Mytilus edulis: one gene and its partner. The protein of the gene in region 1 interacts with the protein of each later gene in a pairwise test. Links are inferred from orthologs where the notes say so. Each region holds a gene or a part of one and is shown on either strand. Other genes may lie near its edges. The genes, in order: metaxin-1-like and metaxin-2-like.

Region 1 (7,350 bases):
TGAGATTCTGTTGCCGATCCATGTTGTAGTACTGGTAGGTTGTGTTTTGCTGGAAAAAAAATACACATATGAAGCTGTACATGTATATTGTCATCTGAACACATCAATTATCTAAATAACAATATGCTCTTTTGATCAAGAAACAATCAATTAAATAAAAAAATTCTGAACATTTATATATCATGTATTGCTTTGTGAGAAAGTAAATCATAAAATTTCTGATTCCAATTATATGAATGTACTTGGAAATTTAAAATGTGTGGTTAATTTATCTAAATGTACAAAAAATGATACATTTATCATATTGTGTATTTCTTTATGAGACTGTTGATTACATTGTATATAATTCCTGATTCCAGGTAATGTATTTTTTCATAAATTGTAAACTAAATTATATTATATATTTTCGACAATGACCATAGAACAGAACCTTTTTTCTAAACATCCCCAAGAACAATGCTTTTCATGTTATTGCATCTCCCTTTTAAAACTTTAATATATAAACAACTTTTTTTTATTGTTGAAATCATTAATTTGATCAAATTTGACTTCTTACAGTTGTTATCTCCCCTTCTACGCTAAATACGGTATGTTCATTATTGATATGGTCCGAGAACACAATTATTTCGTAGTGCATTTCTTTTAGAACATAAATGAAAATTAAAAAAATCCCACCTGCGCTTTCTCAAAGAAACTTTTACAGTGTGTTGTACTACTTTTGGGACAAATTATATCAAAATTATAGAAAACTTCATCGGCTCTAACTCAAAATATGGACAATTTTATGTTTAGGGCGTCTTGAAATCTTTTGACAGCTTCCGAAGTGCTAATTTTCAACCTTTTTCAGCTGGACCAAATCACTACTTTCCTTTAAAATTCTGGACCCAAATGTTTTTACAGTGTAATTTCACCCCCATACTTGCAATTTGAGGCAATAAATATGGAGAAATAAAATTTGGAAGGGGTATAAAAATTAATGGCAAGTAACCCACTGTCAACACTAGGGACTATATTCGTGAACAACGAAAAACAAGGGACGACAATTGTGGTCTCGGACCATATAACATAAACCATTTGTCATTTAGACATAGAATTTTTTATTTTATATTTTTTGGTACATATCTTGAAATTGAGGTCAAGATCATGTTTAGGTTTGCCCTTTGCTTGATATATATCTCCTCTGAAACAATAACAAACAATTAAGGAGCCTGAAATGCTTACAAAGATTTTGCATAAAATTGATAGAATGCAATCAGAAAAATAATGAAGAAAAAAAAATCTTCTTTCCAAACCCGATCATAAAATACACAAAAAAAAACACATAGTAATTTTAAAAGACAGAAAAAATATGTCATGTACTTTGATTGTGATCCAAAATATACAGATTTCAATAAAGTCACATTAACTACATCGTAACTCATATCATCTTTGTACAAATACTATGTATAATTGTTAACTTAATACAAACCTAGTGATGACTGAAATAAATTTGTCTGGTGACTTTTCTGTACTTTAGTTGGAAGACCAGAAAATTTACAATATGCCTGCAAATAAACAGAAAGGCATTATTTACTGATGAATTAATGAAACTCAGAATACATTCATTTATATTTACATTTGCCATAGTATGTATATATGCTTCTTGCAAATAAAGTATTCATTCATTCATTTACCGGTAATTTTTATTACATACATATATATCAAAACTCATTCACAATTATATGAATACTAAGTATAATGAACAGCAACCTGCATGTTTATCATTCCTAATAGGGGCTGCATCTGCCTAAGATATTTGGGGCTGTAAATTATGACTTGGTCTGGAACGTACATCATGGAACCCACAACTTAGTACATTTGTACCACTGTACCAGTTGATGGTATCAGGTCTGTTCGCGCCCAATACACTTTCGCACCCTACACGTTCACACCTCACATTTTCGCCCCCCCACCCAAGTCCGTTCGCACCCTACACGTTCACGCCCAATTTGTATTAAAATTTTAGTTAAATTATTAGATATTTTTTATATGAATATAACAAATAAACATGATAAATGTATTCTATTTGAATAAAATTTGAGAAATTATTGAATAGAATCTTTTTTTATTAATTTGATGATTAATTATTAAATGTTAATGTTAATGTCTCCGACTTGATGAAAGAAGCTGAGGTTGTTGATGTCAGTGTGCGTTCCGTCGACTTAGAGCGAAATGTTCACCGCCGCTACACAGTACATGTACTAGAACAGAAGATACAGACCTTGTGGGATTCTTACATGGATATAGCAATGTCAACTACACACTTCATTAAGGTGATCTCCAGACTGTATGGGCGTTTAGACTAACCAACTGAAGATGTTCCGCAACAGTAGACTTTTAAACTTTGATTAACTTGTGTTATAGTTACTTGAATATTCATGTTTTGTTGTATATGTGTATATGACTGATGTATGATTGTGTTTTTTTCTAAAAATTTGGGTGCGAATATGTGGGGTGCGAAAGTGAAAGGGGGCGAATGTGAATGGGTGCGAAAGTGATTGGGTGCGAAAGTGATTGGGCGCGAACAGACCCGGATTCCCAGTTGACAATGCATTGTAAATGCGATCCTACTAAAAACCTCATTTGGTGCCTTATATGCACATTTGCCACTGCTCTACAAACTTACATAAAGAAGTCATGAAGCTTTGCCAGCTAATATAGAGCGAATTCATTTTCTATGTTAAGTGAAGTGTAGCTTCATAGTGTCAGTGAAACCGTATCGCAGTGAAACACATGTGTTCAAGAAAGTTGCAAATCTGCACTGTGTTCAATAAACAAATACTACAAGGGTGTGTATCGACTTATTTCAAAGTTGTTAAATAGAAGGGGGAGAAATTAACTAATTGCTTACCCAAACTGTAAGACATTCATTGTCAACTGATGGCAAATCCCAGTTTCCTTTCCAAACTTCAAGGTTAAGCACGTCGTCTGTCATGTTTACAATTATGCGGAATAATTTTACCGGAAGTGAATAGTTTTTGTTAATTTTTCTACTTTCAGATTAAAACTCAATCCATATTTTTCTAGAACTATAATAAATCTTAATTCTTTTGTCATTTTCTTGTAAAATGAGATTTAAAGTTCATGAAAAATGGTATTAAATATTGGCAAGATACGATTTCCCAGCGGATTATCTTTTAGTGTTCTATTTTCCGGCGGGGTGTTGTTGGGCACCGGTTAGTGAATGTTGAGTTGGCATCATGTTTCCCAAAACTTTATCTGTAGCTCTAGTGGTTATTTTTCTTGCTGTTTTATATTCAAAATGGTTCCCAACAGTGGTAGAAGTAGTCAATCCAACAGAAACAAGAATTGTCATCGCCTGGCAAAAAATCATAAAGCCACCAACGAAAAAATTCCAAAGACTTGTTGTTGGGTAAGGAAATCATTAGTTTACACAAAGATTACATTATCTGACAAATCATATGTTAAACCAGCAGAAAATACTTCTTAGTGCATGTATGCTATGATATGACAGTCATGAACGCTGGCCAATTTTTGTGAATTTTTTAAAATAAAAAATGTAAGCACACTGTGAGCTCTCACTATAGCTTGTCATAAAATTTACATCGACTCTCAAAGTGGTGCATTTGTCCTTTATTTTATATTTCTCAATGTTCATGTATCACAGTAAGAACCAATTATACAATGTTTCCTTTTATTTTGATTGACATATGCATTTGTAGCAGGTCTATTGTCATAATTTTAAATATTTTACATTATAATTAAAAAGAGGTTGCCTGACATCAGAAGGTTATTTGATACTAATACAGCTAAATATTTCAAAGCATTTATATCTCTATACCCAACATTCAAGATTTATTTTCCCATTTTAGCCAGAGTAATTTTAAAAAATATGCAAGTAATACCTCAAAAATCATTTAACCCTTTTGCCCAAAAACTCTCCTGTAGTTGTGATTGCAACAACTATTCCTGTATAACCTTATGACCCTTCCATACCTATTTTAGAACTTCACAAACTGAACTTTGTTAACAGCAGGAAGTTCAATTTAACAATTCATTGCCCATAAACTGTTTCAAAATGTATTGTTTAGAAAATATGACAACTTTAATGCCCTTCTAGTTCTTGTACATGTAGATCAAAATTGGAAACTGTAAAAAGTCGTTTTAACAACCAAATGTAAATGGGGGTAAAGACTACCTCCTAATTATTAAAGGTAAAGGCTTTGGGTATTTACTATTATTCTTAATTCATTCATAGGTTCATTTAGTTCAGTAATACAAGGAAGTACATTGTTAGACTATAAATCCTGATATAATACTTATCTGTAAAATCTAGACTTTTGTCAGAAATTTGTAAAAACAGACATTTTGGCAAGACAATGAAGTCAAATCACTTCCACTCAACAAAGAATGATTGGTGTAACAAATATATGTTTCAAAGAAACATGTTTTACTCAATATGAACCTCTGAAGTTCATATTAAAATCGAAAAATGGACTGCAATTGTCATTTTTCAGCTGGATTGGGTTGTCCTTTTAATTCTGCAACCAAATATTTTAACTTCAGGTACAACATGTAGAAAGCACTTTATTTTTATTTGAACTTGTAACAGATAAATGTGAAATTATCAATAGTTTAAGGTAAATGTATGAAAGGTGGATGTTAAATTTTTTATATATTTTTCATTTTGTACCCCAAAACAGGTCAAATCAGTGAAAATAAATTTGACAGCTAATAACCCTTTAAGACAGATTTCAATGTATTTATGTATGTACTACAAATGTACATGTACAAATGTGTTATATTTTAACTAGAAGGCTTGCACCAGTGTAGGACTGTTTGAGATTGCTTTGTAATATGATGACCTGTTTATTGGTACAAAAATATATGAAATTTTTAACATCCACATTTTTCAATACCTAGTCATACACAACCCATTTATTTTATATCTAGCTAAGGGTCAAATTGAAGTGGCATGAATACAAATCTTTTCGAATGGGATTAAATAATTGTCTTGTAAGAAAATAATGAATACATCAGTATTGTATTCTAAATATTGTGTTTCAATTTTATGATCCAGTACTGTTTGTAGAGAAATGGAATAATTTTATTATATAATTTAAATTCAAGAATGAATTTACTCAAAGTTCAGATTTTTTTGTAATAATGTACTCTTTTGAAACTAAATAGGAAGAGTAATAACTGGTGAAATTGTATGGACAACAGTTTTAGTGTCTGTTTGTTGCCCTCCACATTTTTTTTATATTAGTTAGGTTTGAGTCTTATAAATATATACATGTACCCCCACATCTCCTTAGATCAATTTGAATAAAATATTGATATTTTCAGCTGCAACTCTAATCTTGACTACATAGTACCAGGAACAAAGTTACTACAATCTTTGAATATGGAGCCAGGTGACAAGACCAACCATGAAACTTTACATAGCTTAGACCATCTTCAACAGACATTTTCACACTTCTTTTCCAAAGGTGCTGCAGCAGAAAGGAGCTTTATGAATAAAGATGTATTCAGGCAAATTACAAATGCTGCGGAAAAATTAGATGATTTACAGGTAAATAAACGGGATAGTGATTTTTTTAATGAAAATGTTTGATAATATGATGACAATTTGTTTCTAGGATGGGGTTACATATATGTAATATAAAAGTAACAATGCATTATTGGAGAGGGATAAAATATAACATATAGTAGTACTTGTAATGCAATATTATGATTATCAGTATTAAATGATAAGGTAGAAAGTTAGAAACATATTGAGAGTTAAACATATATATTCTCTTTTCTTATATATTACAATTTTCATATATAATTTCATTGTAGTGTATTATATCAAGGAAAAAGATATTTCAATGTTGGGGCCCATCCTTCCACAAAATTAGAGTTTAAAATATGCTATTTGGACATTTTCAGCTAACATTTAGGGGACCAGCCAAAAAATGTTTCCCTTGCTTACATGTCTCTTTTGTACAATTAAATACTTAGAGAAAAATAGGAAAACATAGATAATTATCTCCCTTCCAACAAAATGAACAAATTCACATTCTTAGTTTTGTTCTCTATTGTTTTCTGTCTTATTTCTTATATCTAAATGTTTAATTGTACAGGAGATTACTTCTAGTCTTTTTACTACCTATATCTTGATAACAGATTCTTTACAGAAAACTATTCATTTTCTTTTAAGAACTATTAGTCATCCAAATCAGCTGTTACAAGATTATAAAAATTTGCTTACTTTATCACTACTTTTGCATGTTATATTAAATATAAATCTGAAATCATGTTTTATTGGTGTGTAATGAGTATGATGTTTATTTTCCATTTATGTTTTAGTTACAGCTTTTGGTTAGAATCAAATAAAGTTGGGCCAACTAAAGAATTAATTTGGTTTTAAGATTTTAAGGTGAAATATAAGTTGTTTTCCCCATTCTTTTTCAGGTTTACATAGGCGGCAATGCAGCTTTAATGGCCACAAAAATCTTAGAAATGTTTCCTGATGTAAAGGTATAAAAATGTAAAAATAAACAAAGATTTAAAAAAAGAAAAAACAGAAACAATGAAACACAATACGTCACTTAAAACACAGATTAAATATTAACAAGAGTTCATGCTATAAATTATACATTTGGCTTGTTATATTTGTTTTTAAAGAACTGGGCATGTTGGCAATAAAAAGAGAGGAACGACACATTCCAACTCATTATTCAAAAGCAAACTGAGAATGCAAAAAAACTAAAAACAATCAAAAGACAAACAACAGTAAAACAGAGTGACTAATTTAGATTTTTAAATCTTGAGGTTAACATTATATCTACCATGTCTCTACAAAGTGCTAAGATAGGGATACAGTGACTACAGATATAAGTATGATGTCTTCCATAGAATTATTATAATCATGTCTTGAAGGTATTAAGGGAGACATGCTTTTGTTTCAAAATAATCTACCATGTCTAAACCAAGTGTTCAGATAAAGTGACGACAACTATAAGTTTTATGTCCTCTTTATTTTGTATACATGTACGTCATGTTCTGAATATACCTCAAGGAATTGAGGGAGACATGCTTTCGTTTCAAAATGAAACTTGAATCACAAGGGTTTTGCATGGACAAAAATGTTGTGTTAAATGCTTAATTTCAAAATGAAACTTGAATCACAAGGGTTTTGCATGGACAAAAATGTTGTGTTAAAAGCTAAACTCAGAAGATTTTTCAAAATTTGATTATTATTTTGTAGATACAGTACATTGGACCAGTGGGACCAAAACTTAAAGAGCTATTTCCAGAATCTTTTACCATTCCAGAGAGCAGTCACATTCCTCATGATGAAAT
Region 2 (6,499 bases), on another chromosome or scaffold:
AAGCTGAGTACACATATTTTGAAATATTAGTATTATTCTTTTTTAAACCTTTTTTTAAATGTATGCATGTTTATTTTTAAATAAATGTATAAATAGGATGTTGTCTCTTTCAGTATTGGATTATCCAGTTATATGATAAAATTATTGATGTGTCATCAGATAATAAAGTTCTTATTTCATTTATTACACTTGCCATCAAAGTTTTTCTAAACATTGCATGAATAATAAATGTAATATTTAAAATTATTTTCTGAAGCAACAGCAATTTTTGAAACAGTTTCATAAGAAAAGAAAATGATATGTGTTATAATTTAATGTACAGGTGCTGGATATTTTGCTACATGTTGAAGACACTTAGGCTGTTTTTGCTTTTTGGTCAGATTGATGTCTGTTTGGCACATTTCCTGTTTCCATTCTCAATTTCATGTAAAATGTATTACATATGTTAAGACAATTCCAACAGTACATTAAAAACTTGATAATTTAACTGTCAGATATTGATGAAAAAAAAAATATACAATTTACATGTGTAACAAATCTATTTATGGATAAAGTAACACTCAATCAACATTTATATTTAATTTTGTATAGTGTAAAAATCTATGATTTAGATAGATCTAATACATTTTTATTTGACAAAGATTGACCTGTCACAAGAACAATGTATATCAACTGATATTAATTTTCTTGAATGTCTCTGTAAAATTTCCCCTCAATACGAGTACATAAATCTACTAAATTCCTGTAGTTTTGAATGCATCCTGTCAGTTTTGAATCGGGCAACCGAACAGTAATGAGATTATACAAATGTCCAAACACTAAAGCATCCAATTCTGTGGGCTTTTCACCAAAGAAATAAGTGTTCTTAGCTAAGCGATCAGACAGAGCCTGAAGACATGCCTTTATTTCATCAAGAACATTTTCTTTTGTCTTATCAATCCAACCACATGCATTCAATCTTGATTTCACCTCCATTTGTCTTTTCCATGGTAGAATCCAACTCAAAGGCCATGGGTGTACGGATCCATATCTTGGTCTTGTGGTTGAAGCAAATATATCTTTGTCTATCCATGACAAATACAGTTCTGCATTGTAAAGTACTGTATGGACCATAGTAATGTATGCTGTCATTTCTGATCGTTCGGTCTCATCCAAATGAGCACTTATGGACAATCCTCTCATATTTACATTTGCCACAATTGGGTCGAATTCTGCAACCAGAAACGCTCCCATCTTTAAGAATGGAACCCTTCCTGATGGAGACATTTCCTCTGCATTTGTTTTCAGTTGAAGATCAAACTTCAGGCCACTCATGCTCAGAAATGTTCGCACTGCTAGACAATTAGAATAGTCGGGAAGAGTAACTTGTTCGACCTGATATGGCTGAAAAAAGGCTACATCCGTAGGCCACTTTTCCGTTGCTCCAATTTTTAAATGCATAACATCTCCAACTAATGATGCCATGATAGTAAGTAACTTGTAGAAAAATCAGATTTTTTTTTACACAGGAAGTTGTCCTGGTGTAAGAATTTTGAAATCGGTTTGGTGTGTAAAATATCCGGAATCGGAACTAATAACTTTTTTACCTTGGACGTTCAGACAGTGCACAGACACGCGATTCGATGAAAATAAAATTATCTAAATATATGGCAAGCTGTTTTGCTATTTATTCTTACTTCAAGATATCTCATAAACTTAATATTATTATAAGATATCTTTTATATAGTTTATTAGATATCTCATATAGTTTATAAGATATCTTATATGAGTTTATAAGATATCTCGATAGTTTATCAGATATCTCGATAGTTTATAAGATATCTTATATAGTTTATAAGATATCTTATATAGTTTATAAGATATCTCATAATTTATCAGATTCTTATATAATTGTCTTGATAAGATATCTCATTATAAACTATATAAGATATCTTATTATAAACTATATAAGATATCTTATCAATTTTAGGAGATACCTTATATAATATATAAGATATCTCATAAAAATGAAATTATATAAGATATCTTATATATTATAGGATATATCTTATATATTATATTTGATATCTTTAATGTTATATAAGATATCTTATATAGTTTATCAGATATCTTATATAATTGTCTTTATAAGATATCTCATATAAAAATTGTTTATTTGATATCATATAAACTTTATTAGATATCTTATATAACATTAAAGATATCTTATATAACGTTAAAGATATCTCATATATATATATATAATATATGAGATATCTTATAAAAAAGAAACTATAAGATATCTTATATATTAAAGGAGATATATCTTATATATTATATAAGATATCTTATATATTAAAGGAGATATATTTTATATATTATATAAGATATCTTATATATTATAGGAGATATCTTGAAATTCGAATGAATAGTAAAACGGGCTTGCCATATAAATATCTTAATATTAAAGAATATATAGGTATTTGATCTTCAAAGAAAGGTGACTATGTGGAGACAGAGTGAGACAGATTCTTCGGTTTGGCCATGTTAGCTAAGCCTGATTTGCAGAGCTAATTTTAGGTATTATATATGTCTCTGGTACATTTTATAAAAGCATGGATATCATCTATGGTATAAGATTGCACAGTAAAAGATTCTACAAAATTCAATTACGAAAAATTGGGGGAAAGCATACGTAAAGGTTTGCGAAATAGTGTAAAACGGTTTGTGAATGATATGTTTTATTTTATCAAGTATTTGGAAAAGTTACTTAAAGAATAAAAATAATTATCTGCTATAAAAATAATGACACTAAGTCCGAAACTAAATAATAAATAAACAGCAGTTAAATTCTTTAATAAATCGTTTGAATTATTCAATTGAGGATTATGTATCGGGCCTTGTGTTGATTCAATGTTAAACATGTTAAGTACAAAAATCCACACTGAGCCTTTCCCCTCATACCTTCAATTTTGGAAATTTGGTGCTTGATAGAGGATAGTTACATGCAGTGCTATCAATAGTTCCCTAAAAACAAGTTTATAAATTTAGATATTGGTTAAAACAAATATAAATATGAACCAAATCAAGTACACCTTGTAGGAGCCCCCCTTTTTTCTAATAGGATGCACTCGACTTTAGATACTCTAGTTTTTCTAATTTAAAGGTTGTTTAACACTTTTTGTAAATAATAAAAGCTAGTATTACACAGAAAATCAAGTGAGTAATCAGTGTTTTAAATTCTATGACAAAAATCTTTGGATTACAGTTTGTGGATTACCTACACAAATCTTGTTTTTATTAAATGCAATGAAACAGTACATACAAATGCTTAGCACGAAAACCATGTGGTATATGTACAAAATGGCCCATCTCTATTATTCATTATCTTTAATGTTTTGATACTTTGCAGATTCTTTTCATACCTGTAGCCAGGGGGTGGTCCTAACCCCCCACCCCTCCCTTGAAAACAAATAAGCACTGTTAAAGTCAACGTTCTGTTCGAATTTTGACTGTCAAAGTCGAGTTCTTGAGTCCAAATAACCCCCTTTGAAAATTCCTGGCTACGGCCCTGCTTTTCCATCTTTTGTGATACCTCATTTAAATGAGCACTGAAGGAGTACTGCAAGAACACCCTAGTTAATCTCTGACGGATCTCAGTGGCTTTATATTGCTAAATATGGCTTTCCACAACTGCATTTGCTATATCATTTTTCATATAGGTGCTTGAGGACAGAATTCTGTTATGAGTCCCCCCCCCCTTTTCCCTTATTATAACAATTCTTAGATTTTACAATATATATCACTTATTTGTACCATATATATATATATTGATATACCATATTTTTACTCTAAATATGCATGTTAACTATCAACGTGAATCTAGACTATAGAATGAAGCTATTGTCTAGTTTCTGGTTGATAGTAAACATGCATATTAAGAGTAAACATATGGTATATCATATGCACGTTTTTTTCCCTTAAATCATGTTTACTGTTGTTGGTTTTTGAGTTATGGTTGTCCATAATTTCACAAATTCCTGTTGCATCTTTGTATATGTTAAAAAGTACAACTGATTTCTGGCTATGAACATTCTATCTCTTTTGGAGAGTTGTCTCATTGGCAATCATACCACATCTTATTCTTTATATATACGGAGCCAAAATAGATTAGCAACAAAAATGTGAAATTTTATTTTATTACAAAATCATATGAAACATATAATTTTAATAATAACAAAATGGAATTATGACATGTCAGAAGCAACATGAATGTTTATCACTCACATTCATTATGATTTTCTTTGTATGGAGTGCGGGAGGGTCAAAATGCGGAAATGAGTAGTGTTATTCAAAATCAATTTCTCAGTCATGCCCTAAGTGCACCAATGAAGGATTGGCAGGCACACCAGCAGCTGCCCCTAGTCAATGCACTACTTTTGAGCAGGAAAAAACTTGTCCCGTGTTGACGTAAAGCGAAGGTAACGCTCCTCCCTTTATGATAGTTTTTTTTTGGTCTACGAGATATCGTCCTATCCTGTGCAGTTGTAATTTGTTGATATCTGTTTTAAACTGTTGCCATATGAACATTAAATCGAGCCACGATGTCAGCAACACTCATTTTGGCATCAACCATTCCAAGAGCTTTCTGATGGTCATTTTCGTGGAGGCCTGGTTGACGCCCCATGCAATTTTTTCAAAGGTGTATGTGTTTTTCTTATCAATGGTATGTTTCTGATTGTTAGTGAAAAAGAAATTTTTAATATCGTTTAAAAAGTACAGGTACAGAAGGTAAAACGGGTCTCACTATTTAGCGACAACAAGCGTCAAGAAGTGACAACAAGCGTCAACAAGCGACAAGAAGCGACAACAAGAATTATTTTAGCGACAACAAGCGACAAGAAGACTATTTAGCGACAAGAAAACATTTTTTTTTATTTATTAGATATATAAAGAAATTTGTATTTAATGTTTTTTTTTAAATATACGAGCAGATATGTCTAATTAAAATGTTTTATTATATAGCTAGACAAAGAAATGAAACATTTGCGAGGAAGAAAGAGATTGTGAAGTTTATATTAGTATATTGGTAGATGAAGAAATTTAACATTTGTGAAGAAGAAAGAGATTGAGCTTCTTTTTTTATTTTTAAATATGAAGAATATGTATAAGATAATGTATGTATCTGTTTTAATTAAAGTCAAAGTATGAATAAACGAATGGAGATATATATGGAGCGGGCATAATGGAATATGATATTTTGATTCATTTGCTTAATACTATGCTCTAAATGTACTCTTGTTATGTCAATTCGATGCTTTATTTATAGAACTCTCAGCCACGCTTTGCCATTTTTATTATTTAAGCGTGTTTCCAGACCCCACGACAAGGACGTGGTTCTACCTTGGGGTCCATATATTTTTTTTTTAAATTTTTTTTTAATTATTTTTAGTCATTATATAGTAATATGTACATTCCTATCTAACATAATATTTATACATTTTGTACATGGTGGTCCCATTTTGATAAGCAAACATGTGGAACATCAAATGAGATTAACGAGTCGCGTGTCCCCTGTTTTATTGCTACAATAACATCCAATTAACACCTTCAACTTTGTACACGTGTCAGACTATACAATTACACGCGCCAGAATATACAATCATTGTAAATAATGATAATATCGTTTAATGAGGCAATAAACAAATAAAAAGATGAAAACATTCACATTTCAATTTTCTTTTCCTCCTGTTTGATTTCAGTTCTTTGTATTTCACAATTTGTGTCAATATTTTCAGGACAATGATGCACAAATAATTCATTTTGCGAGCTTAATATATATTGCACGAAAAGAGTTTTAAAAAACAAATTATAAGATAAATAATATGTTCTAAAACACAAGGAAAAGTAATCTCATAATACAATAATTAAACGTAATACTGGCTGTTATTCATAATAGATGATAAAATATTATGTATATAATGTTTCATTTTTTTCTATCAATTTTAACCTTCTTGTCGCTAAAATTATTTTCTTTTGCATATTCTTTTAATATTTAAGCATTAATTAATTATAATATATAAAAAAAATGTTTTCTTGTCGCTAAATAGTTTCTTGTCGCTTGTTGTCGCTAAAATAATTCTTGTTGTCGCTTCTTGTCGCTTGTTGACGCTTGTTGTCGCTAAAATTCTTGTTGTCGCTAATTAGTGAGACCGGGTAAAACGTCAATTACACGTGCAAAGCTGAAATGGCGTGAAATCAATCACCAGGAAAAAAGTACGTTTGTTTTAAATTACAGGTAAAACTGAGGATTATATCAATGATGTTTAAATATTTTTTTCGAAAAACAACAAAAAAATAAGATACAAAAAAAGTGCTGCTAAACTTTTTTGGCTCAGTATATAATTATTTCGAATAAAAGATGCTTGATGCATGCAATTTAGCCATTAAGCTTAATTTGCACATTTTTTTCATATAGATTCTATTCCAAGGGACAAAACTCTTGTTAAAACAGTTTATT

Evidence for each region.
Region 2: the proteins of metaxin-1-like (region 1) and metaxin-2-like interact in a two-hybrid assay, tested with the Drosophila melanogaster proteins (2 studies listed by BioGRID). The link is inferred for Mytilus edulis from reciprocal best matches to the Drosophila melanogaster genes CG9393 and CG8004.

What each region holds. Positions count from the first base shown.
Region 1 is NC_092347.1:61,934,141-61,941,490, reverse strand, and holds the start of metaxin-1-like, read right to left. Parts: upstream 3,020-7,350; 5' UTR 2,975-3,019; coding exon 2,891-2,974; intron 1,545-2,890; coding exon 1,469-1,544; intron 50-1,468; coding exon 1-49. Other genes in the region: ADP-dependent glucokinase-like, read left to right, coding at 3,240-3,412, 5,350-5,575, 6,460-6,525, 7,256-7,350. UniProt on the Drosophila melanogaster protein: Involved in transport of proteins into the mitochondrion. Essential for embryonic development.
Region 2 is NC_092350.1:23,171,829-23,178,327, reverse strand, and holds metaxin-2-like, read right to left. Parts: upstream 1,535-6,499; 5' UTR 1,465-1,534; coding exon 679-1,464; 3' UTR 565-678; downstream 1-564.